4 linked regions of the Oreochromis niloticus genome follow. The protein of the gene in region 1 binds, or shares a complex with, the protein of each later gene. Links are inferred from orthologs where the notes say so. Each region holds a gene or a part of one and is shown on either strand. Other genes may lie near its edges. The genes, in order: ncapd2, smc4, smc2 and ncaph.

The links.
Region 2: ncapd2 (region 1) and smc4 share a complex: the UniProt entries of both Homo sapiens proteins name them as parts of the condensin complex. The link is inferred for Oreochromis niloticus from reciprocal best matches to the Homo sapiens genes NCAPD2 and SMC4.
Region 3: ncapd2 (region 1) and smc2 share a complex: the UniProt entries of both Homo sapiens proteins name them as parts of the condensin complex. The link is inferred for Oreochromis niloticus from reciprocal best matches to the Homo sapiens genes NCAPD2 and SMC2.
Region 4: ncapd2 (region 1) and ncaph share a complex: the UniProt entries of both Homo sapiens proteins name them as parts of the condensin complex. The link is inferred for Oreochromis niloticus from reciprocal best matches to the Homo sapiens genes NCAPD2 and NCAPH.

The regions. Positions count from the first base shown.
Region 1 is NC_031976.2:23,069,347-23,076,943, forward strand, and holds the start of ncapd2 (condensin complex subunit 1), read left to right. Parts: upstream 1-4,580; 5' UTR 4,581-4,729; intron 4,730-5,172; 5' UTR 5,173-5,174; coding exon 5,175-5,292; intron 5,293-5,910; coding exon 5,911-5,986; exon of another isoform or gene 5,987-6,000; intron 6,001-6,063; coding exon 6,064-6,122; intron 6,123-6,255; coding exon 6,256-6,431; intron 6,432-6,488; exon of another isoform or gene 6,489-6,801; intron 6,802-6,891; coding exon 6,892-7,037; intron 7,038-7,529; coding exon 7,530-7,597. Other genes in the region: ing4 (inhibitor of growth protein 4), read left to right, coding at 156-322, 430-544, 660-771, 853-997, 3,511-3,572, 3,681-3,720. UniProt on the Homo sapiens protein: Regulatory subunit of the condensin complex, a complex required for conversion of interphase chromatin into mitotic-like condense chromosomes.
Region 2 is NC_031979.2:23,949,611-23,956,596, reverse strand, and holds the start of smc4 (structural maintenance of chromosomes protein 4), read left to right. Parts: upstream 1-3,981; 5' UTR 3,982-4,137; intron 4,138-4,204; exon of another isoform or gene 4,205-4,227; intron 4,228-4,821; exon of another isoform or gene 4,822-5,501; intron 5,502-5,510; 5' UTR 5,511-5,520; coding exon 5,521-5,662; intron 5,663-5,800; exon of another isoform or gene 5,801-5,918; intron 5,919-6,644; coding exon 6,645-6,835; intron 6,836-6,986. Other genes in the region: ift80 (intraflagellar transport protein 80 homolog), read right to left, coding at 136-204, 339-449, 2,500-2,721, 2,946-2,982. UniProt on the Homo sapiens protein: Central component of the condensin complex, a complex required for conversion of interphase chromatin into mitotic-like condense chromosomes.
Region 3 is NC_031971.2:23,782,968-23,790,375, reverse strand, and holds the start of smc2 (structural maintenance of chromosomes protein 2), read left to right. Parts: upstream 1-4,392; 5' UTR 4,393-4,557; coding exon 4,558-4,725; intron 4,726-5,292; coding exon 5,293-5,442; intron 5,443-5,536; coding exon 5,537-5,659; intron 5,660-5,750; coding exon 5,751-5,789; intron 5,790-5,874; coding exon 5,875-5,985; intron 5,986-6,078; coding exon 6,079-6,123; intron 6,124-6,242; coding exon 6,243-6,476; intron 6,477-6,677; coding exon 6,678-6,827; intron 6,828-6,926; coding exon 6,927-7,160; intron 7,161-7,352; coding exon 7,353-7,408. Other genes in the region: exoc1l (exocyst complex component 1-like), read left to right, coding at 42-164, 397-572, 1,671-1,940. UniProt on the Homo sapiens protein: Central component of the condensin complex, a complex required for conversion of interphase chromatin into mitotic-like condense chromosomes.
Region 4 is NC_031977.2:6,091,799-6,099,606, forward strand, and holds the start of ncaph (condensin complex subunit 2), read left to right. Parts: upstream 1-4,788; 5' UTR 4,789-4,939; exon of another isoform or gene 4,940-5,009; intron 5,010-5,903; 5' UTR 5,904-5,908; coding exon 5,909-6,126; intron 6,127-6,260; coding exon 6,261-6,351; intron 6,352-6,495; coding exon 6,496-6,588; intron 6,589-7,267; coding exon 7,268-7,385; intron 7,386-7,544; coding exon 7,545-7,696; intron 7,697-7,808. UniProt on the Homo sapiens protein: Regulatory subunit of the condensin complex, a complex required for conversion of interphase chromatin into mitotic-like condense chromosomes.

The sequences.
Region 1 (7,597 bases):
ATAAGAAAACTGAATATCCAATTGTGTTATTTTAAAAAACATTTTGACTTATTTGTGTGAGGTATTAAAATTATATTCGTAATCACAGACAGCATTGTTTAGAAGTTCTTCTCATCTTTTTTAAAAAAAAATTATGATTATTATTATTTTTTTAGATCTTAAAGGCCAGATAGACTCTCTGGCTAAAGAATACACTGCCAACGCCCGGACTCTCTCCTCTGAGCAAAAGCTGTCCATACTGAGGCAGATCCAGCAGTCATACAGTAAATGCAAGGAGTTTGGAGATGATAAGGTGCAGCTGGCCATGCAGACCTATGAAATGGTTGGTATCTTAGAAAATAAACATATTTTAGACATGTTTATTAGAAGAAATAACTTTATAAATACACTGCCCTGTATTTGAGTAAGCATGGCCTGAATTTTGTGCAGGTGGATAAACACATCAGACGTCTGGACACGGATCTGGCTCGGTTTGAGGCTGACCTGAAGGAAAAGCAAATCGAGAGCACAGACTATGATTCCACCTCTAGTAAGGGGAAGAAAGGTGGGTTAACACTGTATTTGCCCCCAGTTTTTTATTTTGTTGAATTAGTTACGTGCTCAGTTAAGTAAATCCATACTCATTATAATGTATGTCTTGCATGCTTTTGTAATCCCAGGAGATTCCAGGCAAAAAGAGAAGAAGGCAGCTAAAACGAGGTCTAAAGTGAAGAGTTCAGATGAAGACGGCAGTCCTAAGAGTGCACAGAAGAAAGTGAAACTCCTTCAGCCGTATGTTGGGCACTGTTTAGTTTTTGATGGTCTCGTCATTGTTATTTCTTTTTCTCACACACAACATTTTTTAATCATCAGAGGAGAATTCAACAGCCCTTCTTCCAACTTTGGGAACGTGCACCCATCCGATGTGCTGGATATGCCAGTGGACCCCAACGAGCCCACCTACTGCCTATGTCATCAGGTCTCCTATGGCGAGATGATCGGCTGTGACAACACTGATGTGAGTTTTGTATTAAAATGCCCTCTTACACTCAATCAGAGGACACATGAGATCGGTATAGACACAAGTTTACATTTAATGTTGATGAATGTGTGTTGTCGTTTGAAAAGCTACATGGTTTAGAGCACAAGTCTTTAACAGAAAAAGAGCGCAAGTGTAGCAACCAAAATGTTTACACTGAAAACTATAGCAAATAATAAAGTCTTTGGTTGACTTTCTGTTAGGTATAAATCCTTTACAGACTTCAAATATTCACGTATTTTCTTGTTGTTCATCAATGTGAAGAGGCTCATTTGATATAAAATCAAGAAAATATGAAAATACTTCCCATCTGTATCACATGTTTTTTTGTTGTTGTTGTAGGTAAAAAAAAAACTGAGATAGCTGGGTTAGGCTCCAGCCCATTTGTGACCCTGAATTTGACAAACACTTAAGAAAATAAATGCATGGATATTACTTTAATCGATTTAATGAAGCAAATCAAAATTTAGGTAATTAAATACTATCAATGTATTTTGAGTTACAGGTACTTAAAGCACATAATAGTGGGCAGAAATTTTGCACATCTTTGTTTGCCTCATTTTTTTTTTCCCCCCAGTATTTTTCAGCCATCAAACGTCAGAAGAGCTGTAGCTAAACGAAAATGTTAGGGCTAAAAAACATTTAAGCTCTGTGAGAAACCTCAACCAAATCAATTTTATAACCCACTTCAAGTGTCATAATATGAAGACAAATCATACAGAGTAACAGAAACAAGCACTGGTGTTCTGAACGCTTTATATATTTTCTGATGTTTTCTGGCTCTTTTCACTGGAGAAAAGAGCATTTTGTGTAAACACACAGAGGAGGCTAGACCACAGAGGGTCTTGGGATGCTTTCTTTGCAGTTTCTTGCTTCATTTTGCTTGTGACAGTTGTCTTTTGGCATAAGATGGCATGTCCCTTTTTATTGTCTTTACTGAACTTGAGAGGGAGATGTCCGGTTGTTTGGGTTCAGTGTGCTGTCCTTATCTGCATATCCACTGATCCCATTTTGTTTGGCAATAACAAAATGAAATATATTAATCATTGCCCACTTTTATTTGAGTTATGTTCTGTTATGTTTCAATATGAACCAAATGAAAAGAGGTCTGGTTATAGTGAAATACTCACACACATCCCTCTGATGTTGTCAGAACCACCAAACATAGGGAAACAGGTTTTTTTTTTTTCATTTAGTGTTTATGGCCGGTATATTTTTAACTTGGCAGAATATACATGTGTTTGTTTTAACCAGTTACAGTATGTGGAAAGGTTTTTTTTTCCAAGATGACTGGTCTTGTCAGTTTTTAGCTTATTCTACAGGAGAAGAATGTTCATAATTGGACACATCAAGGAAAGGAGCATAGAAAAGAGAAGAAAATGAGGCTGCATTAACAAAAATACAGCAGCTACTTTAGTAGTTTAGACCTGTTCAGCTGTTCATTAATGCAAAGAACTAATTAGCCAGTCAATGACAGCAACTCAATGCATGTAGCTATGGTCAAGGACCTGCTGAAGTTTCATCTGAGCATCAGAATGAGGAAGAAAGTTGAATTAAGTGACTTTGAATGTGACATCATCACCATCGTGGAGCTTCATGGATATGCGTCTGACAAATCTGCAGCAACTGTGTGACGCTATCATGTCAGTTCGGACCAAAATCTCTGAGAACGTAATCAACACCTTGTCTCTGTGCCACAAAGAACTAAGCAGCTCTGAAGGCAAAAAGAGGTCTAACTTGGTACTAGCAAGACCTACCTAATAAAGTCTCTGGTGAGTGCACATTTATGCAATAAAGGCAAAGCCAGACGGTTGTGGAAAATGGTTTAATATGTAGTAAATCACCTTCTAGTTCTAATTTCCCGTTACTTATTTGCTTATAATGGCGTTTTAAGTGGATGGAGCCCTGCTGTTATCAGATTTAAAGATCCATCTGTACATCTTAACAAAGGAAGAGAGGTTGCATTTGGAAGTGAGTAAATGACAATGTGTCCCTTTGTGACATTTAATAAAGCGCACAAAATGTGGTACCTTCACTGGTCCCTTTAATGAAGGAATGATATTATTTATTTTAATATCAATAAATACCATCCACATATCAAAAAAGGTCACGACTGTATAATTGTATCATACAGAGCTGAATCTGCGAGCATTAAATCAGATTAATAATAAAAAATAGAAGCTGAAATGGTATTATGTGTCTGTTATACTTTATAAAGTGCATGTACAGGCTCTCTCTTACATACATTTCCAAGATGCTAACCATAAATTAAGACGCTGCAGCCCGGTGCCACTCGCTGTGTGGATAAGGTCACAGATGGCAGTGTGACTGATTTATTAGCAGAAGCCACACTGTGAATATTACATGTGATGGCTCTTTTTGAACAGATTGTTCTCCATCATGTGTTCTAGAAAAATGTGATTTTTGTCTGTCCCAACTGCTTCATTTGCACAAGACTTACCAGTATTTTTTTTGTTTTTGTCTTTTTCCAGTGCTCCATTGAGTGGTTCCATTTCGCATGTGTGGGACTGACAACCAAACCAAGAGGCAAATGGTAAAAAAAAACTAAAGTGAAATTGAGACTGTGATCTAATTTAACAAATGTGTTCAGTCAGAGTGTTGAAAGTATGCACCCTCACCACTCTTCATTTATGCTATGCAGGTACTGTCCACGGTGCTCTCAGGACAGAAAGAGGAAGTGAGAACACCTGGTTCTCCTGGAACGAAACACGGACTCTGATCAGATGGAAAATGAGAAGAATATTTCTTCATTAGTTACTAGAACTTTTTGTTTCTCATCTTCCTTAACATTTGGTGCTTTTTAAATTTTGGTTTACGTACTTGCCTTGGTCTGATGCAGAATGTTTGAAGGAGCCAAGTGTTACAAATGTATTTAAATTTTGCTTTTTAAAAAAACAAAAATGGTTAACACTAATTTTGAGTTTTTGTTGTTACCTTTGGTGCTCTTTTTGTGACTTTTTTTTTTTTTACATTTTATTTTCTGAGTGATTAATAAACACTATAACTGCCCATAATGGTATGACATTTGAATTTTCCATAATACTCTATACCGTATTCACATGTACAACTACAAAATTGTATTTTCTTCCAAAAAAAAGACCATGGATGATTTGATGCTTTGTCATATGGTTAGTTTCTTGTGCTTAGCCTTGGAACACTAGTTTAATTTTTCGATATAAGAAGAGGGAAAATTTTAAAAAAAAATGCTGCAACTTGACAGTATTAGTCACCTGTGGTAGTGAATTGAACCATTTCATTTTTAACATTTGACTGAGTGCTGCATAGGAAGTAAGAAATTTTTTTTGAAAAGTATTGTCATTTCTGTAGCTGAAATATTGGTACCGGGGAGAGGGGGTGATTGTGTTTCAATCATTTGAATACAGCTACTACCTCAAAAACCTTTTCTCTGTCCTCCTTTGTGTCTCTCTCCGTTTTTAATTGTGGTTTGTAAAGTTTCTGACTTTGTGCTGTAGTGCGCACGAGCGTCCGGCAGGTGGCAATGTTCGGTCAAACAGCAGCACGTCAACGTGGGCGGGGTCATGTGACGTCAGAGTCTCCGCTTTGGCGCGGTGTCCGGACAAATTTGAAAACTTGCTGGATTTAGACCGTTTGTAGACGGTGAATACTAACAGGCTACGCGTGTTTCTGTAGAGGTCCACAGTTTGGCTAACAGGAGTACATTTGTTACGGGTGAGCTTTATGTTTATAAACTATAAAAAGTTAGTAGTTTGTTGTTGAAGCCATTTCCGTTTTACAATAATGTAACTGCGTGCAAGATACTGAGCTAGCCCTGCTAGTTAGCTCGCTAACTGTATTAGCAGTAGCTGTTTTGCTTAGGTTAGATAAACCCACAAAAATAAAGGTTACTCTTTGGTAAATAGAAGTAATTCTTATAACAGTCACATGGGCTGGAGTGTCTTGGAGAGTCTTAAGCTGCACTTTAGCTCCTTAGCTAGGGTCAAGAACAAGTTAAATTGTAAATGTGTTTAGTCGAATATTCGACTATCTCGCTTTGTAAAATAGTAGGTAGCATCTTTAGAAGTAATATCAAATTCTTTCCCAAGAGTAGCTAAGTTAGTTAAACATGCAAATAAACGCTGTTTTTGTTTGTTTGTTTGTTTTAATTGATTCAGGGATGTCGTGGGACTTCTTTGTACCTGTGTGCGTGGGGGACCTTGTGAAGACTGGAGGGATCAACCAGTACGTCGTTCAGGATGTGGTCTCCGCAAAACAGCTCCCGTCCTATCTCAACAGTAAGTGGTCAACATGTAGCCAGGTCACTGATATGTTTTGTTTTGTCTTTTGGGGGGGTTATTTATTTATTTTTTTTAAACAAATTGTAGAACATCGGCACAGAAGTCATCGCTTTTTCTTCAAACACCTCCAACAAGTCATTACCATCCAAGAATTGTCCTGGGCTAAGAATCTGTCTCACTATGTTTTTACTACACCAACCTGCCAGAGGGTCTGCAGATGGAAATTACCTATAATCTGGCATATTTGCATTTGATAAAATGTTTATTAATGTGTATTGTCCCTCTTTCTAAATAAAATAAAATAATTATAATACTGGATTGCACCCAGCTTCTTCTAAAGTGTTTATCACCATCCCTTAAAACAAACAGTCTCCAATAAAGGGGTACTGTGATCTCTGAAATCTCAGACATAATTATATGAATCCTTCCAAAGATTCCTGCTCTTTTACCACACGCCCAAGTAAGGTTAATTAAAATACCTATGTACTTGCATTTTTTGTTTTGTTTTGGGGTTTTTTACCCAAAATTACAAAATGTTGTCACTGTTCAGATACTTAGCAATGATTGTACTAGTATATTTATTTGTTTATTTTTTTTAAATTCTGTTTCACACAGAATTCAAGGCAGCATTAAGGAGTCAGGGGCCTTTGTGTATACTGGAGCACTTCGACACTGGCTACAGTGTGCTGCAGTAAGTGTCTTCAGGTATTGCCCACTTTTATTTATTGTGATTATTACTGTACAAAACAACTGTCTTTGCTTCTTTAGGCACTGTAAGTCGGTAGATCTGGCTGTGAAAGAAGATACTCTGGAATTACTAGTACAAGGTTGCTTTTTTTTTTTTTTTTTTTTTTTATAAGAAAAAATATTTTCTTAATGTTTAAATTGATAACTTTGATATGTTGATGTGCTCATATAACCTGATTTTTTTTTTTTTTTTTTATACCCCTTGCCTTTCAGTGGTTAGTGGGTTGTCTGTTTCACTGCCGAGCATCCTTGTCTCCACCTCCCTCTCAGCTGCAGAGCGCAAGGAAAAACTTAACGCAGTTAAAATGAGCGTCTTCCTGCTTTGCAAACTCACAGAGAACCTGGAGAGTGATTCCTATAGGCAGAATATTGTCACAGCAACTGGGAAGGTATGCTTATTGCTTACCTAGCTAAAGGGTTCTTTGCATATGTCTGTTATGATAAATGTCCACTGATGAGCTTTGACAAGCTTTATGATTCAGTCAGACTAAGATATTAAGTCTCTAGCCTGTTGTTATGTGGGTAATCTTGGTTGTGTGGTAGAGTGTTATTGCATTACTGTAAGGGCCCACCCAGAGTGAAATTGACATTTTCTATGCTGTGCCACCTCAAGAGAAATTGGGTAGTATAAGCAGGAGTTGTCAAACAATGTGTGGATGTTTGCCATTGTGTGCATATTGATCAGCTAACAAGAGGCTATCAGTCTCTGTATAGTTGGTTTGGCTGGTGTGAATTGTTTTCTTTGGTAATCTGAAGACATCTATTGTGATTTACTTGATCTCATTACTATATTAAAGATTTCATAGTCCAGCATCTATGAAGCTTAACTGCTCTTTTTATTATGTACAGGGTGGTAAAAAAGGCAAAGCAGGTGGAGAAGGACTCATGCAGTGGGACTCAGAAAGAGAGCAGGTGCTACAGGCACTTGTGCAGCTCTTCCAACTGGACATCCGTTCACTGTGGAGCCTCTCCTTGGTGGAGGAAGAGTTCATCAGGTACTTTGCTGTCAGGAGAGCTCTGGGAGAGAATACAGTATCACGTTTTGCTGGTTTAATTCAGTTAATTGGTGTCATTTACAACTTATCCATATCACTTCCGAGCATTCGGAACTCTGTAGCCTTAATTGTAACTCTTATGACAATGATGTGTGCCTCTTCATTAATAATCTACAATATCTAATAAGGTTAGAAGAACTTTGAACTGTGGTAAATTGCCTAATGTAATATTTTCTTTATGCACATTTCCTCACTTTCCACTTGTTTTATGGTTCTCAGTAAGGATAAATTGTTTGTCAGAAGACATTTATGTGGTAGTTTAATACTCACAACACTCCTAGCAGCACTTACCTCAGCTTTTAACATGCACTATGTGTATCTGATATTTCTGATGAATTCAAAACCTTGTCTACTATTCATTGTGGGTTTTTGGTATCCAGGTCTTACCATAATCTAATATATAAAAACCCACACACATTTCTCTCCTCTTAGCTGTGTGACCTGCTGCTGCTACAAGCTCCTTGAGAACCCAACCATAAGCCATGTGAAGAGTAAACCCA
Region 2 (6,986 bases), on another chromosome or scaffold:
CAGTTTGATCTGCGTTTTGCTTTGCTAATTAACATTTTAGCGCTTAAATAATAAATGAAAAGTGTGCAGTTTTGCACATGCACTAGATACACATTTGCAGCTCCGCTTCAGTGAAATTAAGGTTTTAAGCCTTACCTTGGCTGGCTAGTGTTGAGCGTAGCATCCCACTTTTTGACCAGATTTTAATCTGCCCATCTTCTCCCGCTAATTAGAAAAACAACCAGAATAGACCTTAAAGACAGCTTGATTAGATTCTCATTTTGATTTAAAAAGGAAAAAAGGCTGATTAGATGAGTAGTTGTCAGATAACAGAGGAAATGAGTCCTAGTCATCTTTACCAGTGATAAGAGCAGTCCCATCATAGTTCCATCTTCCAGCCAAAACAGCTCCTTTGTGCGCCTCAACACTCTTCTCAATGCGACCCATCTTTGAGGTTAAGTGGAACTTTCCTGCAACAAATTTACAAAAAAACCCCACATAGATGGTGTAAAGCCATTCCACACACTAGGCCTGGGGTGATGTTGGTGTTTTCAGTTGTTTATAACTCAAATACAGAACTGAGCATTGTAATTCACTCAGTAAAGTTTCATAAATCTGTGGAATTCTAGTTACTGTGTAATAGAAAACAAGTTTTAATGGCCAAGACAAAATAGTAAAAATATATAAATAAATACGTATTTTAATCAAAACACACAATAACTACCAATGCATCTCCTAACACACAAATACAGACAAATTTATATTCTCTCCAATCAAGTAAATTACAAACTTCTGGTTTGAAGCAAATGAGTGAAACTAAAAAGGCCTCTGTTGGGTGAATTAGGGCAATTTTCTATGCGGTAGACACGAAAGGGTGATCAGCCATGGAGAGTTATTGAAGACCGTAGCCTACCATATACTTTGTGGCAGTGTGTATTAAAAATTCTGAATGTTCTATGTAATTTCTGGTGACCTAAAACTGCAAATCAGCATGCTGCAGTGCTCTCTCATTTCTAAATTTGGACATCCCAACAAAAGTAGATGTAACTGATCCAGCAGGTAGTCAGTTTAACAGGCATGTACAGCTGAGTGACTCTCTTAAATGAAAAGCACATTAGAAAGCCACATTCTACATAGGAAATGCTTAATTGTTTGTTTGCCTCTTATCTGGAAAGCCTCATTTTTTGATTTCTTATAAAAAATAAAATAAATAGTGATAATAATAATAATAACAATCGACCCTTTTAGTTTAGCTTTTCATTATATTTGGTCCTTTGAGAAATTCCTGGCAGCGCATCTAGACTTCCAAACAAAGTCTGAGAATATTCATCACACTTAATCGTACCCTCCTTGTGTCAAATCTGTCATACAATATAATTTCCAGCAAATGCCACGTATGAGCTATGCAATTCTGTGCCTTAACAGTGTGAACATATTGGGGATTCCAAAATAATGAAGTACGCTTATTAAGTAAATTTACAATATCAAGCTTAATAGGAATGAAATATTATACGAACTCCAATACCATGTGTGCTTGTAATTTAAAACGCTGAAACTGCTTAGCATCATACATTTAAAAAAAAAAAAAAAAAAAAAAAATCACAAATAAACTTGTAAAAGGGAAAGAAGGCCAACTAATCAAAAAAGGTTAGGAAATCCCAAAGATATAAAGTCTTCAAAACTAATAAAACCCAGGTGGACTGTTTTCTCTTCAAGTATGTCATACAATCTAATAGGAAATCCAACAAAGAATCCAGATTAAAAACTTTAATCTGGAGCAAAAGAAAGCTTTCAGTGTTTCAGTTAACAGTGAAGTCAAAATAAATGAATAAAACTCTGTTTCTATTCCCATTGCAGAACCAATAACTTTTGCAATACTAATATTTTTAACCGTAACAAGACAAGAAGCAGAGGAAAGTTGCAAAATGGATCGTAACACTTTTCACTAGTCTCTGCTCTGCCAGAGAAAATTGCTGCTTCAGTTTGTGGGTGTGTTTATGCAACCCTACACTGCCATTAGTGTTGTGACCACACATTGCCTTGCCATAACAGTACATCCATATTCTGTGTGTTGCATCTAACGCAGGCCAAAGAAGAGACATGTACGACAGATTCATGTCACACAAATAGTATCAACCAAGGGGTCGGTATTAGAAATCTACAAAACAAAAATTGAGTTTTAGACACAGATTTATACTGAATACATAAAAAGAAGAATTCAAATGGACTCTACTGGATCCTACAAGTATCAAATTGGTAGCGATTATTTCCCTTAAATATAAATAACTCTTGAATTGTGCCTATGTCTTCTAAAAAAATAAATAATCAAAAATTAAGGAAGACATTGCCATCCTGTAGATAGCCAAGTCTGTTACTTTATTTAATTTATTTATTTCATGAGAATGTCTTTAACTAATAAATGTATAGATATGACCAAAAAACGGCCACTCATTTTATGAATGAACTCTGAAATAAACCCTTTAACATTCGGGTCAAATTTCAGAGAATACAGAGACTTGCCATCTGTGCTGGTAAGAACAAAGATTTCAGCCTGGGCCTGTTTCTTCACACCAACAGTTTTGGGGAACCAGTGTAGGTCAGTAGGGTAAATTTCCTCTGGCAGTTTGACAATCAGACTGGTCTCACTGGTCAGCAGGTTCCACTTGAGAATCTGATGATCCTCACTGCACGAGTACAGCTCATCTGCTGTGGTCCAGCCAACGCAGCTCACAAGTTCTTTATGTGATCAGCTGTTAAGGAGTTATTAGTAATGAACTGATTCTAAAACCCTTTTTTGTGGTAACCTCTGCAATAAATTGGGTTTTCTGAAAAATGGACAGAGGTTAGAGCAACACAAGGATGGAAAATACTATCACTGCCTCAAATAGCACCACTAATAATTACGATTAAAAGTTCTGGAATTCTGTCACAGAATTACATGTGTTACATAATTACAAAAAGGATATGTTTGGATTCCTTTAGGAGCGACGTTTTCAGTCTCATGGTGGATGTTCGTTCTGTTGATCACTAAACGAACAGAAAAATGTCAGAGACAGTAACGTACCTGTTATGTTAAAGCTCTCTATATAACACTGTTGTCAAACCAACACAAAAAATAATAGTACAGAAGACCTGAAGCATGGGTGTATACAGCTTACCCGTAAACTATGTAAAGCAGCCGTTTGCACTCTCCGTTAGCTGTAACGATGAAACAAACAAGCGTCCGCTGTTGCTACGGTACCTGCTACTGTTGCTAACGGAAGTCCTCAGCTATCCCCTGAGTCTCGTCTGTGACTTGAATGCTAACGTTAACTTGTTCTCTTGGTTAAAATGGACATCGTTTTCTCGTTGCCGAGTGTACTAAGCGACTCTCAGCAAAACGTGCGTGTCATTTACTCTACTATGAAGCGCTATTAGAATACGCAAAAGTCTTATCTATCACCAATCAGCAATTTATGCCCCAACGTGTAAAACCTGCACTTTGGTAGCCATTTAATCTGGGTCATAAACAGCTTGAAAAACAAATTATCGCGAGAGTTGCATCTCAACTTCCTTGACAACGGAAATTTCGAAATATTTCTAAGTTCAAAAACGACATCTGTTAAATAAATGCATTTATGCAAGTCGTTAGAATCGGGATCAACCAACACTAACAGTTGATCTATCGAGCTATATTTCCTCAAGTATAGACATTGCCCGGGGCAGGTCCTTTATCGTACCACAGACAACCGTTTGAAGACGTAGGAACAACATTAGGCATTTAATAAGAATAAACTTGAATAATATGAACAATTTGCTGTAAACGCATTGCATGGCTCTTATTCCTTTTCGTTTGTTCTTTAGAGTCGTGTGAATGCGGTTTGTTTGGAGTGAGGCGGAGTTGGCTTCGTCCCCTTTTTTGAATTTCGTTTCCCCCCCCCTGCCCTTTGAACGTTCCATGGTGCCTTGCGTCAGTTTGTAACGAATTTGGTTCGACAGCGAGGTTTAGGCGCCATTTACAAGTTTGAGTTATCAACTAAGGAGAGCGAGTCGGAGTGACACGGGAGTAAATTTTTTGGATTATATTTGCCAAACTTTGGATTGACGATTATTTTTTGCGTAATAGCGACTGTGGTCTGAAAGGAAGACTCTTGACAGATCGTGGTTATAGTGTGGAAGGTACATGGAAGTATTTTAGGGGAATGTAACGACTGGGTTCCATCTACTTGCTGAAATGTATTACGTTTGAAGAGGGACTTAACAGTAACGGCAAGTTAAACTAAGGTTTAACGTTAGCTTCTGATTGAAAGCGAGCGGACCATTATTACACATACTAACAGAAATAATGAGACCTAATCACTTTTCGTCTTAACTTATATTAAACCCACAGTGACACTCACTCTTAATAGTGACATTTCCGACTCGTTTAAGTAATGCTCGCGTTGCTAATAGCTCATAACCGGCGGGCTCTAATGTATTTACTCGTTTAACTTTAATACTAGGGTTAATAACTCCTTTCATTTCAGATAACACGTTGACGTTGGATAGGTTTTGCGTTTCATTTATGCCGACACTCCATTTGACTTTATAGAGCCCAGCAACTCATACCTTTTTATAGTTTAAGTTAGCCATTATGTTAGCTTTAGCGTCGCAGCGATATTTCACTTCATATAGTTAGCCAATCAGTTAGCAGCAGTAGTAGTAGTATAGCTAACTTAACGGTAACGTTAGCAAGTAAAAACAGCGTGGCAGGGTTTGCGCTGCCATTGCCAAGTTACTTATTTGGCAAACGTGAATGTAATTATAACGTTATGCTAACACGGGTAAAGTTGCATTAGTTGTTTGAATGTGCGTACCAATTACCTAGCGAGTTAGGTTGGCTCGTCTACGCCTCCGCCCCAGCAAAAACGTTGTGGGGATGAAAGTTAATATTAGTGTCGGTTTGAAACCTCGATCAATTTAGGACGTTGGGTCTTCACCACCAACTTCAGCCAAACTTCAGCCACATTAGCAGTGGCAGTGTAACGCAGGCTAGGCTAAGAGAGCTAAGGGGGAAAATAATTAGGCTATTTGCACATTAACTGAGTCGTTTTTCACTTGCTGTGACGTTAACCTTATTTTTGCTGCGTTATTTACCGCCTAGGTTCGCGAGGCAAAATAAAATGCATGATATAGATGCAGATGCCTACTACAATTATTCTGTGAAAGGATGAGATTATTATTTTAATATAGGTTATTTTAAAGAAAAATGATGCTTGATTTTAAACTTGAAATAGCTTATGATTCTGTGCAGTCATCGGATTGGTGCTATCTCATTTTAACGTTTTCAGCACGAGTAACTCGTGTAATGCTGGACTCATTGTTGTAACAGCAATGTTAAGATATGCAAAGTATACCGATTAACAGTTAGCTGGGCGTCAATAGGATCTGACTGTGGTAATGATTAGAGCCTGACAGAGAAGCTGCGTGTAACCGACTAAAAGTGGAGTTGAGAGATTGACAGGCACAAAAACCACTCATGGATATTCCCTTTTTACCAATGACCCCTTCAGATTTCAAGTCATGCCATCTAAAACTGCAAAGAGCTCAACTGCCTCCGCCAAGCCAAGAGGGAAAGGGTCGCAGTCTGACTCCGAAGACGAGCTAGATGTACCCCCTCAAGAAACCAACTCCAATGGCCAAGAGGAGGCACCGCCGAAAACTGGCAAGTAACAAAGGGTGTTTTGGTGTCTGTGAATCTAAATAAGTTGTTCAGTCAAAGCCTTTGCGTGTATTGCTGTATTGGTAGGGGCCAATTGGCACAGCTGTAAAGCTTTTTTTTCCCCTTCTTGCTTAAACAACACGGAGTTAGAATGGCTGATATATTTTTCACTAAAGTGCCAGTCATCAATAAAATGATTTTGGAGATGATTTTGATAACGCCGAGTGTACTTCTTCCCCGGATCTTCTCAGCAGACGAGGTAATTTATTTCGAAAAATGAGGTGCTTTGTGTAGTAGATCAGAGCGGTGTTTGACTTAATTCTTGTAAGCTTGATATTCACTGATTTCTATGCGAACCTTATAAGATGCACATAAGCAGTGGGTAATGTCTGTATTTTGTAGAATATGTTGAAATGCTTCACTGGGTGTCTGGCTGCGAGGTTTTAATTGACAAACATCGACATCTTTGCTTGTTTATGCTTATGTGAGCACAATAGATTTTGGACAGGTCGTTGTGGCTTGGTGTGATGGCAACATAATCGTTTCTGCGTTACACATTATTATCACAAAACACCCGTTTTCCTGTTTCTGTTTGAGCACAGACAGGCATGAGTGAAAATGTGACGCTGATGGCTGAGATTTCCACTTTAGTTATTTGTCATCGACAATGTGGCGCATCTGAGTACGTAGAGAGCGTTTGGATTATAATGTGGGTTCGTTCATAAGCGGCCATGGTCTCTTTTCTTTTTTGGGGTTGGCTCTTGTTTGCAGAACAAAGAAAAATAACGCCTGTCAACTTTTCTTTCTGGAGTCGTACTTTGACTGCTCTTGTAACTTGGTGCGTGTGTTTTGTTTGTTTTTGTTTTTTTGTGTGTGTGTGTGCGCGAGTATGCTTCTCTACCCCTCCCCCACGTACAACTGCCCCCCCCCCCACCTGAAACGACTCGAACAGAAGAATAAAAGTTGTACTTTTTGTGTGCCACAGATTCGTCTCACGGGGAAGCTACCGAGACCGTTGATAATAGAAGTTTGGAGGAGATTGTCGGTAGCATCCCTCCACCTCCGCCCCCAGCAATGACCAATGAACCGGGCGCCCCTCGCCTGATGATAACACATTTAGTTAATCGAAACTTTAAATCATATGCAGGCGAGCAGATTCTGGGGCCTTTTCACAAGGTACGACCAAACATGGTTACACATGTAATCCCTGCCTGGGAAATACTCTTCTGATGTGTCACAGATTTAACATCACTTGTTGTGTATCCCACTCTTAATTTAATTTTTTTTCTGTTTAATTTCATATGATATAAACTCATAGATTTTTGCC
Region 3 (7,408 bases), on another chromosome or scaffold:
TGTTTTTGGGACGCTCTGATTCTTCTCCCCCCTCTCTCCAGTGATGTCGTCTCTTCTGAGGGAGGAGATGCAGAGAGTTTTGTTTCGACCTGCAAAACAGAGACTGGTGGAGTTCATTGAAATTGAAGAGCCATCGCACGGAAGACATTTTCTCTGTGCCTCAGGTAAACAGCTTGATTGTTGACTCAGAAATATGCATTTGATTTTTACACAGGAGTAAATATCTTCCTCCTTAAAATGTAAATGTACATTTTTAATGTCTTTAATAACTCACTTCCTTAAAAGCTGTGTATACCTGCACCACACAGGGTGTGTTAAATCTATAAGGCTGGCTTGCTGATGAAAAGCCCGGTGCTGCAGTGCACCTGTTTGTGATGTTTTTCCATTTTTCCGCAGTTGCAAAAAACAAAGAAGTCCAGCTATGCATAGTGCACTGTCAGATGTCTGTGCCCCTAAAGTCTGCATCCAAGAGATCCTTCACCAAACGCTCCTGCATACAAGAGTGCTACCAGAGGACAGAGATCTGGTCCCTGAAAGACCTTACCCTGATTGATGGAAGAAATCCTGACGTGGTAATTAGCCAAATTCTTCTGTAACTTCCACTGTTCTTAACTGGCTACAAATAGAGACAAACTGTCTTTTGGGTAACTGTATGTGGATGGCATTCTTGATGAGCGCATAGAACGCATAATAAAGATTTGTAGACATTTTGCTTTATCAGTACCTATTAACTAAGTAATTAAAATGTATTTGTAAAGCGCATTTAAACACAGTTTTCACCAACCAAAGTGCTGCACAAAGTCACTGACCTTTGACCACCACCATAATGTTCGGTTTATGCCACAGCCGCACTAAATTAACAGTGTTTGTAATTATTCATGTCATTTTCTATGTTTCTGTCATGTTTAATCTACCAGTAAGTAACAAGCTCTTTAATGAAAATGATATTTTTAATGCTAAAATTGCTGTTGTTATTATTATTTTTAGCTGTGATTTATATTAAAGCACACAAATTTTTTATTTTATTTTATTAAGATGGCAAATTACAGTGATTGCATTCCTAAACAGAAAAGGTTTAGTGATTTAATGTTATGCGGTGTACTGGCGTTTTTCGAATATAAAAATGTGAACACAAATTTTGTGTTTGCCTAATAAATAATGATATAACTTTTACTTTTAAACACGTTTTTGACAGATTTCTAAAATATTGGTGCTTTCATGTTTTTATGACAAGTGGTCTAATAAATTTGTTAAGCATTGTATGTATCCCACATACACACACAGGCATGTAAATACATTAAGAAAAAATAAATAAATGAATTTAAGATAATACCAAAGTTTTATCAGAAGCTACTTAGCTATTTAATCTTAGATGAGTCATGTTATTAAAATCTTTACTCCTGCTCTGGCACCCTCCCGTGACTCATCAGCAATAAATTTGACAGTGTTATTTATCTATTTTTCACATTTTAATTAATCGGTTGCAAAATTTCTACAGTTGCTTAAACACATAATATTTGTGGACTAGGGACAAGGTAAAGAAGAATGGTCTGTGGTCATTTGGCTTTAGTTGCCCTATAATAATGTAGGCTTTCTACAGAACAAACACAATAAAAAAAATGCAGTGATTCTTAAAGGTGCTCCATAAATATAATTTGCTTTGGTTTCAGGATGACCCTTGTTTCCTGCTGCACTTCGACGAGGTGCGTACAGTGACGGCCATCAGCTGCTCAGCCAAATACGCTATCGTGCGTGCCCTGGTTGCCCTCAGTGACCGGTACTGTCAAAGGTCACTGAACCTGAGGAACTTTGACTGGCCTTACATCAAGCCCACCTCCTTCTACTCAAACAAAGGGGACTGCGCTGTTCTGTCACAGATATGCTTCTATGCGATCAATTTGGTTTGTCTCTCCATGTGTCATGTGCCTCTGGATGGATAATAAAAGTACACAGTTGTTGTGAGAGTGCCAGTTAAGGTGGGTGTTTATATTACAAAGTTGCAGCAAATACTGTACGTGTATATTACTTATATCAGTTAGTGAGAAGCAAATGTAGGCTCGTAGCTTCAGTAAGCTGGGCTTTGAAGAACTTACAATGAAATATGTTTTGCATTAATGCTCTGCTGAATGTATCTTCATGGCAAATGCTAGCTATGTGCTATATTTATCATCTAATTTTGTGAACTTTTAATTATATAACCCTGAAAGTATTATATTCCATGTGCTGAATTTCAAAATAAATGTAGCACAAAACAAATAAAGCAACTGCAAATTCTTGCGCTTCTTTCTCCCTTTACCCTTTTAAACATAGGGTACGAATCATTTACCCTATGCTCTTTATGCAGTGCATAGTACTGTTAACAGTATATGTCACAGGGAGCTGCGCTGCAAAAATCTCATTTATTTTAATGAACCTTAAAATGTATTTGGTGGATATTTCAGTGTCTGATTCCAGTATACTCTATGCCATTTCTAGATAAATAAATGATTAGGTATTTCCTCACTAGATGTATTACTCCAATGACGAGAGGCTTTCAAGCAACATTTGAGTACATGCACTACTGTGCAAAAGTCTTAAGCCACCCTGTCATTTCTTTACATTTTACTAGGAAAATGGGAAATAGATGCAACAATTTTTTAAACATCTGCAAACACGCACAGAAATACAATAAACAGTGTAAAAAAAACGAGTTTGTACAATTCCAGTGAGCCTGAGTTAAGTTAGTTAATACTAAGTTATTATTCTGTATGACCAGCTTTTTTCTTTAGCATAGCCTGAATTCTCTTAGGAAAACTTGTAATTTCTGTAAGTAGTCTTTAGGAATAGTTCTCTGGGCTTCTTGAAGGACATCCAAAACTCTTCTTTGTATGTTGGCTGCCTTTTCTTCCATTCTCTGTCAAGACGATTCCACACTGCTTCAATAATGTTGAGGGCCAGACTCTAGGGAGGTCGCTCCATAGCTGATAGTGTTCCACTGTAGGTTTTTCTATCCAGATATGCTTTTAGTGCATTGGCAGTGTGTTTGAAATGACTGTCATGCTGAAGCCCCTACAAATCAGATGCTTTCAAGATGCCTGCGTGGTGGATCAGACTCTTATGGAACTTTTCTGTGTTAATAATTCCATTCATTTTGACATGATCCCAACACCACTGGCTGAATTGTAGTCCCAAACCATGACAGAGTCTGTACGGTGTTTTACAGATGGCTGTACATGCTGTTGTACCTTTTTCCTGACTTCTTCTCTACATATTAACAATGATTTTTTTAAAAATGGTTTCATCACTTCATAAGACCTCTTACCACTGATTTTCAGTACAGTTCTTATGTAATTTAGCATACCTCAGCATTTTCTCCCCGTTTTCCTTCCTTAAGAATTGCTTCTTGAAATTCACCCCTCCACTGAGACCATTTCTGATGAGGGCTCAGCCAGATATCTCTGAGGTCTCGGCCAGACCTTCTTCAAACAGTATTTCTTTAGGACATTATTTTCAGATGTGCTGCAGACGCACACACACACACACACACACACACACACACACACACACACACACACACACATATGTGTGTGCATATATATATATATATATATATACACACACACACACTACACACCATGCCAAGACGTGCAAAGTTTTCAGTTAATAGGTAAATCAGAAAATATTACTTCATGCCTGTTCAACTGTGTTATCTTTGGCATTATATTACAATTACAAGAAGTTCTGGCGGCTTGGAAGCAAAAGATAAAGAAATTAGGGGTGGGTCAAGACTTTTGCACAATAGGTTACATAGGTTAAATAACTGTGGGAATAATTAGTATTTGAATTCAAGGCTATAACTTCTAGTCAATGCTTTTAGCGAGAGGAGCTACTTTTCGTTATTTAACAGTCATACCACCGATTTCTCTAAATCCCAAGCGGGAGAGCAGCCTCATAGCGCTTCTAAGTGACAGGTTTTTCAATTTCATTTAATATTTCGGATTTTATATAAAGAAATATTTAATATTTAATGACGCTAGATATTAGCGTCATTAAATTATCTTTATTAACTAAAACTATTTTTAGTATAATGCAGTATTTTCTCGACCGGACAGGTTGACTCGGGACGATTTTACTAATGCACTTGTACTTCATATTCGTATCTACTACAGGTGGCGCCAACACACACGTCTAAGAGTTTTAGTTGCCTTAGAAGTTGCCTGACGAAAATAAATATATGTCGCAATAAATATTTAAGAATCGTCATTTCTTTGATTTTACATTGACGTTTATTTATTTTAAAATTTCATCATTATAATATACTTGTTGTGTGTCTGCATATTTTTCATGTAGTAAGTTTTCTTTGTTTTGTTTCCGGCACACAACGGACGCACGCACTCGCGGCTCAGGGTCTGCACGCCTGCCGCCAAAATTCAAGTTAGAGGAGAGAAGAAGCAGTTTCCCAGTTGTCGGTTGTAAACACGGGGCTAATATTTGATGCTTTCCGTTTAAGGTGGTGGTTTGTCACTTGGCTATAACAAGTCTTGCCTCCGGAATCAGCGGAGAGAAGAAACTCGAAAAATGTACATCAAGTCTATTATTATCGAAGGATTCAAGTCCTACGCGCAAAGGACGGAGATCAACGGCTTTGACCCACTCTTCAACGCCATCACAGGACTGAACGGCAGCGGCAAGTCCAATATTTTGGACTCGATATGTTTCCTTTTGGGTATTTCAAATCTCACCCATGTAAGTGTGCTGTTGTGCGTAAGATAGCTTAAAAGCTATCAAATCCAGTGTTACAGTTGTTTATATTTGATTACTTAGAGTTTTTGTAGAGTTTGGCAGTGGTTGTATTCCTGTCAGTAACAAGCGAAAGTCACAAATTGTTATAGTGCTTAAAACTACTGTATTTTGCGAAACAAATTTAAAATAAAATGAAGTATGAATACAAGAAATACATCTAGTTTTAGTTTCGTAGAAGCTGTCAATAGAGTAAGCATAAGGAGGCATCGACACTTTGAGACTGCGGTCGCTTCGTGACTGGAAGTAAATAGCCGTCACGATTTGTTTATAACAATATGGTTCTCTCATAGCAAGTGACAAAAAATAATACAATAAAATAAACATATCCTTTCTGAAAACTGACTCAGGTCAAACTGAACTGCCACAAAAGTGAGAAACAAAATATGAAGAACAACTGTTGAAAAATACGAAGCTGCAGTGACTCTGAACTGAGGTTAACTAAGTAAGAAGCATGTGTAGTTGTTTCTCATTCAAAACTTGCATCCCTTTTTGTTTCATCTCATCTGACAGGTGCGAGCCTCCAACCTCCAGGACTTGGTGTACAAGAACGGACAGGGTGGCATCACAAAGGCCACTGTGTCCATTACCTTTGACAACTCCAACAAAAGCCAGAGTCCTCTGGGGTTTGAAACACATGATGAGATCACTGTTACGAGACAGGTGGGGAAAGAAATAAAGGAGGAAAGTCTCTGGCTTTAGGGTTATTATGCAGTGCTTGTATTAACACGGATATACTTTTTTTTTTTTTTTTAAGGTGGTAATTGGTGGCAGGAACAAGTATCTCATCAATGGAGTCAATGCCAACAACACCCGAGTGCAGGACTTATTCTGCTCTGTTGGTCTTAATGTCAACAACCCACATTTTCTCATCATGCAGGTCAGTCTTGTGTCAGCTGTGTAGTTGTGGTTGTGAATAGATATGATCTGTCACCCCATTCATAGATTTTCCTTTTGTTTTAATACATTAGGGGAGGATTACCAAAGTTCTGAATATGAAACCACCAGAGGTAAGACAAACACGTTGCCCATTAGGAGGACCATATTTCCCTCCCTTCTTAGGACTTCTAATATTGAATACTTTTATTCTTTCAGATCCTTGCCATGATCGAGGAAGCAGCAGGTACCAGGATGTATGAATGTAAAAAGATTAGCGCTCAGAAGACCATCGAGAAGAAAGAGGCCAAGCTGAAGGAGATTCAGACTGTATGTTAAGTCACTCTGACTATATCACTATCTATACTTGTTCGTCAGCAAACTGCTGCTGAAGCAAACCATTTATTTTGTTTGCTCTTACAGATTTTGGATGAGGAAATCACTCCAACCATGCAGAAACTGCAGGAGGTAGTTTGGCATTAAGATTTGAACTGACTATCTCTCTCCACAGGTTCAACCTGTGAAGCCTGTGTTCTTTTTGTTTTTACTGTTGTAATATCCATTTCTGAACCTTCCTCTGTCCGCAGGAACGATCATCATACCTGGAATACCAGAAGCTGATGCGTGAGATCCAGCACTTGTCGCGGCTGTATGTGGCCTGGCTGTTTGTGTGTGCGGAGGAGACCAAGCTGAAGTCAGCAGAGAATCTAAAAGTGATGCAGGACAACATCGCCAAGATGCAAGCTAGCATGGCAGAGAACGAGAGCAAAGTCCAGGAGCTCACAGCCCAGATTCAGGAGCTGCAAAAGGAAAAAGACCAGGTACTTTACACTGGAGAAGAAAGGGAGCGATAAGAGTAATTTAAAAAATTTTATCACAATTTGAATTTTTATATAATAGTGGGCAGATTTTGCAATACCTTTGTTGAAGTCTTTAAAATAATTTGTATGCTATAGGTCCATTCTTTGTATGTTTTAATCGAACTGCAGCAAAGTAATCCATATCAATCTGCTCGTCTGTAGGAAGTAAATGGAGTATTAAAGTCCCTTGAGGAGGCTCTAGCTGATGTTCAGCGTGTGGATGCCAAAGCTCAGAGTGCACTTGACTTAAAAAAATCAAATCTCAAAGATGAAACCAAGAAGAGGAAGGAGCTTGTAAAGAACATGGAGGAGGTAACAGACTGATAAATCGTGTTATTCTATGACTTGCAAACAAGGGTAATCTGTACATCTGAATCATTTATTCAAACTGTTGTTTTCCTTCATCCACAGGACAAGAAAATGCTTGTGGTGAAGGAAAAAGAGGTTTCTGTGTTGACCAAGCAGCTTCAGGCTCTGCAGGAGGAAGGAAAGAATGACAGCGCTGCCCTTGAAGCAGCTGAACAGCATTTCAAAGCTGTGTCTGCAGGTCTTTCTACCAATGAGGATGGAGAGGAAGCCACACTCGCAGGCCAGATGATGACCTGCAAGAATGACATGAGCAAAGCAGATACAGAGGCCAAGCAGGTGACGAAAGCAGACGGACAGATGTCTTTAGAGTCAGAGTCTTGCTTTAAGAATAAATATTTTTGCAGAAGGCTGATTACACGTATATGCTTCTGTGACTAGAAAACATTTTTTTCACTGACCTTATTCCCTGGGTTCTTATTTTATCATGAATTTCCAACAATTTCTTTTTTCTTCCTTATTTATGCTCAGGCCCAAATGACGCTTAAGCATGCCCAGGCTGAGCTGAAGACCAAACAAGCAGAGGT
Region 4 (7,808 bases), on another chromosome or scaffold:
GCTGAGCGCACCATCCACTCCGAGCTCCCTGCCCTGCACTCAATCTACAGCAGGCGGTGCTGGGCCAAGGCCAGGAAGATCGTGAAGGACCTCAGCCATCCCAAAAATGGACTGTTCTCTCTGTTGAGGTCAGGAAAGCGATTCCGCTCCCTGAAGACCAACACAGAGAGACTGAGGAGGAGCTTCTTTCCGCAGGCGATACGGTCTCTCAATCACACCACCACATAGTACTGACCCACACATATGGTTTTTACACACACACTGGACATTCTGCACATTTGTTTACATTTGTTTACATTTGCCATCTTGTTATTGATTAACAAGATCACTCTATCACAAGTCACTTAAATAAATCACTTTTAAGCATATTTGCACTGCACAAGACACTTAAATATGTGGGTTGCACAACCCTGGACATTACATTTCTTTCATTACCATTTATTACTCGTACAGCTGCTCTTATTGTTCTATATTTCTTCATATATTCTTCTATATTTTCTATATTGTGTATTTTGTTGTACAGTTATTTTATTTTTAACTTTAATTTTTATATTTTATTTTATTCTTTCCTAGTTAAATTTACTCTTCATTTTAATTTTCATATTTATTTCCTATCCTATTCATAGTCTTTTATTTTAGGTCACGAGCAGTTGTCTAAGCATTTCACTGCATATCGTACTGTGTATGACTGTGTATGTGACAAATAAAATTTGAATTTGAATTTTGAATTTGAATATAATGTTTCTTCTAGTATTAATGACCACAAACCCAGCAACACAAAGCAAAGCTAAACCAGCTCAAAGAGACTTTGAAGCGATTGTCACAGTGATTCTACTCTGAAAACACCAAAAGGTACAAACGGGAGCTACAAGCCGACTCATCACTGAAGATCAGGCTCTGCTCAGCACACACTCAGCTGTATCATCACGCTGGGTTCTTGGCTAGCTTGTTCGCAAAGAGCCAAACTTGCGTTAGCAGTATACATTGCTTCTGTCCTGAATGCAGTTTGAACTTTAAAATCACACTCTTGTGCTTTTGAGCAATAAAAACAAAAGTAATGTCCACATTTCTGCTTTTGACCACCCCAACACTTTTTTTCTCTTCCACACAAACTAGTGGTCTGTGGATCGATACTGAAATATCAATTCTTCCAGTACCAGATATTTATGTTCTAGAATCAAATCTCATCTTAAAATATCAATATTTTAGTAATTTGGGGTAAATTTGTAGTTTTTCATTAACAAGAACACAGTAGAAAGTACCTGTATTATTGGGACCATCTGAATGATTGGTAGGAACTACTTCTTCCGCCTGTCATAGTGAAATACCGCTGTATAAATGCATCATGGCTCACGTGTGCTCATTCACTCACTTGGTAAGGTCACAGAACTGTTAAACACAAACAAAAGTAAGTTATCACACAGAAAATGATGACGAGTTTATGATGAGGTGAACTGAAGAGGAGAGGGACAGGTGCTGCTAGGGTGATATCACTCCCAGATAAATGGATTATATATGCTAGGTGTCATTGAAATATACAGCATACTTACAGTAAAATAGCCTTGATAGACTTTAAAATATAAAAATACAACTTAAATATTTCATACATAAGACAGATAGATAATGACAGGCATCTATAAAACGTCTCAGCTGTATTATTATTTTCAGTCGGTCACATTTGTTTTGAGTGATTGTTAATTGAATATTTTCAAATGGTATTGACTTTTGGGTTTTTTTATTTTGTATATGGTAATTCTTCATAATCAAACAATAAGAACAAGTAGTCTGGTCACTTGTATTCATTGTAAAGGTATAATTTGAAATACACTACTTTTTATTTAGATTTTCCAAACACATTAGGTTTTTGTTTAAAGTATCAGTAGCCAATCAGTATCATTGATACTAGCCGGAATTTTACTGGGGATCAGATCAGAAAGGAACTCAGTGGTTATTGCACATCATTAACACAAACTGAAATCAGCTGATTGCAGCGCAAGTGCACAGAAAGAAAAAAGTGTGCTTGTGTGTTGTTGTTTTGTTTTGTTTTGTTTTTTCTTTCTATCCACCTCATGCAGAGAATTGACCAACTTTTCCAAATAACATCATAATTGTAACAGTAACATAACAACTGAATTTAGTGGATTAAATCATTACTGAAAAATGTACACATGCAGTATCAACACAATAAGCGTTCCAGCATTAGACAAACTCAAACAGAATTGATTCCAACATCCATCAGTGTTGTTTCCTGGGCTAAATCTGTTTGGCTACTCACTCCTTTATTACTCACTCCACTCACGCCTTTATTTAGCCCCAAATGATCAAGCTGTTTAAAACAGCAAATGCACTAAGGGCCTGCACAAAGGCCCAGTATATGATAAACAAAGCTTTTCGACTGGGAATCATGCAAAGCTACTTCAGCACAGTCCAATAATAACATCAAGCAAAAAACAGCAGAATTGATATGTGTCTGTCTGTGTCCTGGAGAATAAACATTGTACATGTTTTATTATTTGGTAGAGTCAGCCCTGGTCTTACAAGAATAAGATCTCTTATACTGAGGACACAAGTGTCTGTTCCTCATTTAAAGAGTGAACTTCATAACTATTAGACTTTGTTAGTTTATAGATATGAAAAATAAACCACCACCTCTAACGCTGAGTGACTATTTTGACTGAGAAAACATTCATATTAGGCCTCCTTCACTAACATTTCCATAGAGATTTTCTTAATTTGCACACTAAAAAGGTGTAGGTGCAAAATTATCATCTTCTTCAGGACACGTGCACAGCAACACCACAGTTTCCAGTCTGTTGGATCCCCTCCACCTCCACCCCTCCCTTCAGGAGGAACGCGCTAAAATTGCTGCAATAGAGAAGCCTAGCCACTGATGCAAAAATGCAAAAGAATTTTATGACTAGAGAAGCTGAAACCTTACTGTCCAAGGTGGAAGTCAAAATATGCATAATGTGTAACATGTAAAATAAAGTGTAAATATCAATCTGCTTGTATACCTTCATACTGAAGTTGTAAATCCAAGAACAATGAAAGGCCATCAAATTCAAAATTTGGAATAAATTTAGCTAATGCATTAGTTAGTTACTTAATTAGATTAGTTATAACATTGTTTTCTGTTATGACCTTAAATTGAATTCACTTTTAAAATGGAAAGCATTTACTTTAAATATCCGTTTACATTTTCCAGGACAGTTGGGCTGTTATTTTTGTGTACACAACTCTCTGAGGACACTCTTATTTGGTCAGATTCTCCAATTGGGGAGCCATCTGTGTGCTAAAACTTATGCATTTATGCTTAAATTCTTTTGTGACTCAAGCTTCTTTCTCTTGCCTTACAGACACACTCACTACTGGTGCAATCAAAGATGTTCACTGCATGGGCAGAGGGTACATCTCCAAGGAGTTAAGATAATACTCTGATCAACCCTGTCAAACATCACTGAAAGGCATTTTTTCTGACTGTGTCAAGCTTACTCATGGAAACTGGAATGAACTGGCTAATGTTTAACTTTGAATTTTTCCCATAGGTCTTTTGCAGAAGGTCTCTATAGACAAAAACAAAATGGGAAAAATTGAGCAGGGTTAGTGTCACACTAATAAAGGAATGTAACTGGCATTTCTCATTTGAATGAGAATATTCATTTAGAGGAAATCCTATGGGATTGTGTCACAGTTATTACTTACCTAATTATTACTTCCCTGAAAACTGATATTTAAAATTCTGGAAGTAGTTTAACAAAATTTTGACTTTCTTATATCAATTCTGAATCCATTCACCGTTCAACTTACCAGCAACACAATCTTGATTGTCACTGCCATCTAGTGAGTAGCCAATGCACTGCCATTATTCTCAGCCAGTCTAATGAAGCAAAGCCGCTGCTTCATGTCATTAGAAAGATTCCTTTTGCTTTAGTTTTTATTTCAGTCAATAATTATAAGAGAAATAGCTATTAATGAAATGTACTGTGCAACTTGCATGCTGCTTTTCAGTCTTTACTTTAGTAGCTGAATGTCAGTTGATGTTGTTAGAGTTGCGGCTGTGGCTGTCAAACAATATCTATCAAGTGTCTATTAAGTGATAGAAGTAAAAAGAAAATGGTTCCGAGCAAAGTGCTCCATCCTGTCATGCTAAAAAATGAAAGTGACAGCATGTGTGCTCTCTTAGCTGTGCAGGAATTTTGATGAAACATGGAGAAATGGTGTTTTGCTTTAGTGTGATGTGAATATCAATATATGTTTACTGAGTCACAGCTGCTTAACTTCGAGACCCTAGCCTCACATGTCATGCTTGATCTGTGATTATTACAGCAAACACTGTTTCAGTATGTCTTCACATACAAAATACACTCAGTCAGTACCAGTTATTCCTCTTATTAAGGAGCAGACCACTTAAACATTAAAGGATTTACTGACTCACTCGTCAATGATCATGGTAGTCAAAAGATCATTGCATAAGGAAGACATGGTGGGGGATGCTATTATGGTATTGAAAATGAAAAAAAAAACCTGATTATCTGTCATAAAAACTGATGAACACTTACTTTTTCGTGATGTAATGTTTTTATTAAACAATATCATAAAATAAACAATTCAACGAAAACTACTTTATGTTAATATTAAAGAAGAATTATTATAAACAATTATTATAATTATTAAAAAGAAGAAGAATCATTGAGTTTTATCTCAAGATCACTGTTTTCATAGTTTCCTTGGGGGTCATTAAACTACTCTGAATCTGATTTTCACTTTCTCTCGCTGTGGTGGGCGTGGTTAGCGTCATGACGTAGGTTGCTGCTACGTAAACCGTTCGGCGCAAAAATTCAAACGCTAGACAGGAAGAAATTTCCTGCTTGTTCTTTCTGTCATATTACAACTTATAACGGGTCTACATAAGTCTCCGTCGGATTTAAGGCAATTCTTGGTATGTTTTGGGGCTGAAGCAAGTCTTGTGATAAAGTTTTTATTTGTTAGTAAGCCTGCTAACGCTAACTGTAAGAACACGTTCATACCGAAGTTAGGGTTGTTATGCTAAAATGCATGTAAAGTTAGCTTAGTTAGCGTGAGCATGTAAGTGCGTTTGGGCAGTACATGTGCTTCTTACGTGATTATTTTACTAAACTAGCTTACCAAATATGTTGTGCTAAGATGGCGTTTGCTTTCTGAAAACTTACTTTAGTTGAATGTATATAACCTTTTCACTGGTTTAATACTTTATTGTAGAGTTCCTTTGTTTATGTGCGAGTAGCGTTCAAGCTAAGCTGATGGAAATCCACATTGAAGTCAATGGATATGAGTCTACAAAAGGAAGGATTCGCAGACTGTGCTGTGCTATACTAATAAATGATGAACCCTTAAAGTAAACAACGTTGTTTCGGTAGCAAACAGGCAAGATTGATGCGAACTTAACCCTAGCATATCATACTTGCATAACCAGAGCCAACATTAAGAGTTTGTCTTGTCTTTTTTCTCCCAATTTCTTTGCCATCATGAGACCACATTCTCTCTCCTTATTCTCATTAGTAATTTTTAAACTTGGCTTAAACTTTGTTTTCCTTTGTAAGTTCCAAACAGCTGTAACAACACAAGCACAGCACTTTGTAAAAACAGCTGATTCACAGTTATGTTAGCATCAAATATATGCCTCATCCCGTGGGTTGTATTGACAGATTTCACCACCGATATCCATTGAGTTACTTTTAATATTTTTCCTAAATTCTAGATTTTATTTGAGTTGCCTGCAACAAATAGTTAACTGAGCCAAGTTAACTTTCTCTCCTGCTTCAAATTGATATGTGTACGGTACATTCAGAGCGCTGAATTCTGCTCTTTAAGCACTATTTCTTTCCAACCCCCTGTTCAGTCCAAACTTCTTTTCCTATCTCCAGCAAAGATGAGCGGAGCCTCCACACCCGTCTCCCGAGTACAACCAGGATGGATGTCATCCTCTTTGAAGAATAAGGGTCTGTCCCCTGCAGGCAGCAGCACTCCACTGCTGTCAGCTTTCCCTGGAAACGATGATGAGCAGGAGCGACGTCAGCGTAGGAGGTCAAGAGTCATTGACCTTCAAGCTGCAAGTGACTCCTCCTTCAATGACTCTGCATCTCACAGGTATGCTGTAGATAATGGCAAGACTAAAAGTAATTTGTAAAAACATTTTGTGCCATGGCTTTGACAAACAGTACCTGTCTGCTTGGCTGCTATGTATCATGAGAGCTCAAAGACAATCTCATTGTCCTAATCAGCACTGTGGGAACTCCTGCTGCTGTGCCCAAGTTGTCAAATGCACAGATCTCAGAGCATTACTCCACCTGCATAAAACTCTCCACTGAAAATGTAAGTATTTGTATGTGTATGCATTTTCCTCTTTTCCCTTTACAGTAAATGTCCTTTGTCTTTCTCTGTGATTGGTAAATGAAAAAATATGGCGAAATACGGGGCAAATAAATGAATTAAGTACTTTTTTATTCTTATCGACAGAAAATCACCACCAAAAATGCATTTGGTCTGCATTTGATTGATTACATGGCTGATATTCTCAAACAAAAGGATTCAGAGCTCACCAACTTCAAGGTATGTGTAACTGATTCTTTCATTCATCATTTTGGTTCTCTAAAAGTCTTTGAACTGATTTAAACATTTGAATGAAACATCATGATAAATAGTCAAAGGAGTTCGCAAAGAAAAGCGTCTGGACTTCTTTAAGTTGCTTGAAGACGTTTCACCTCTCATCCGAGAAGCTTCTTCAGTTCTAAGGTCAAATGGCCGAGAGTCCCAGATTTAAACCCATTTGACCTTAGAACTGAAGAAGCTTCTCGGATGAGAGGTGAAACGTCTTCAAGCAACTTAAAGAAGTCCAGACGCTTTTCTTTGCAAACTCCTTTGACTACGATGACCTGGATGACTGAGAATCTTCACAGACATCATGATAAATAATTTTCTGGTTGTTGGAGAACATAGAAATGTTGTTTGGGTTTTTTTTAAAGTGTGTTTAAAATATCAGGAGAATATATTTCTTGGACTCAGCACCCACCTGACTTGTTTAAGTTAGGCGGGTGCTAACACCAGTTTGATTTTAATTCAGGGAAGCAGAATTTATACAAAATTAAGGCTGCATTCTGTCCAGTGTGATCTCTCATCTCACAAGCACCACTCATTCTGAGAAAGTGCAGGATTCTGTATTAATCTAGAGTATTTATTATTTAGTTTTGCAAGCAGTATCCTTCAATATTTACATCTTTTCATCCTAAAGGTGGCAGCTGGCACTCTGGATGCCAGTACGAAAATCTACGCTGTGAGGGTGGATGCTGTTCATGCTGATGCCTACAGAGTGCTGGGTGGTCTGGGTGCTGAAACCAAACCTGGAGAGGGTGAGAGTCTCTGTATTGTCGTTGGATTTTCTTTTAACCATACTTGTGCTATGGCTTGAGCTTTCTGGCTTTTTCTAACACAGTTTTAAAGTTGTTGAACCCACCTTCCTGTACTATTGAAGATTTTCTGCTTTTTTTGAATTCTTTATGCATACACAGGCCATGGTGCAACAGAGGAAGATGGAGATGATGCAGGACTTGCAGGAGGTGAAGTCACTGCCAAGCAGCCAAAGAAGAAAAGGCCTCCCAAGAAGACAGTAGAGCAGAACCTGAGCAACATCAACAGTGCTGAGTCTGAGAGGAGATGTGAGGTATGTAGAGGTCTTAGCAAAGTAACTAAAATAGTGCACACCTCAGTTCTTTTTTTTTTTTTTTACTTTTTGAAATAACAGAAGTATCGTTCAGGGCTTCGGGACCACTATG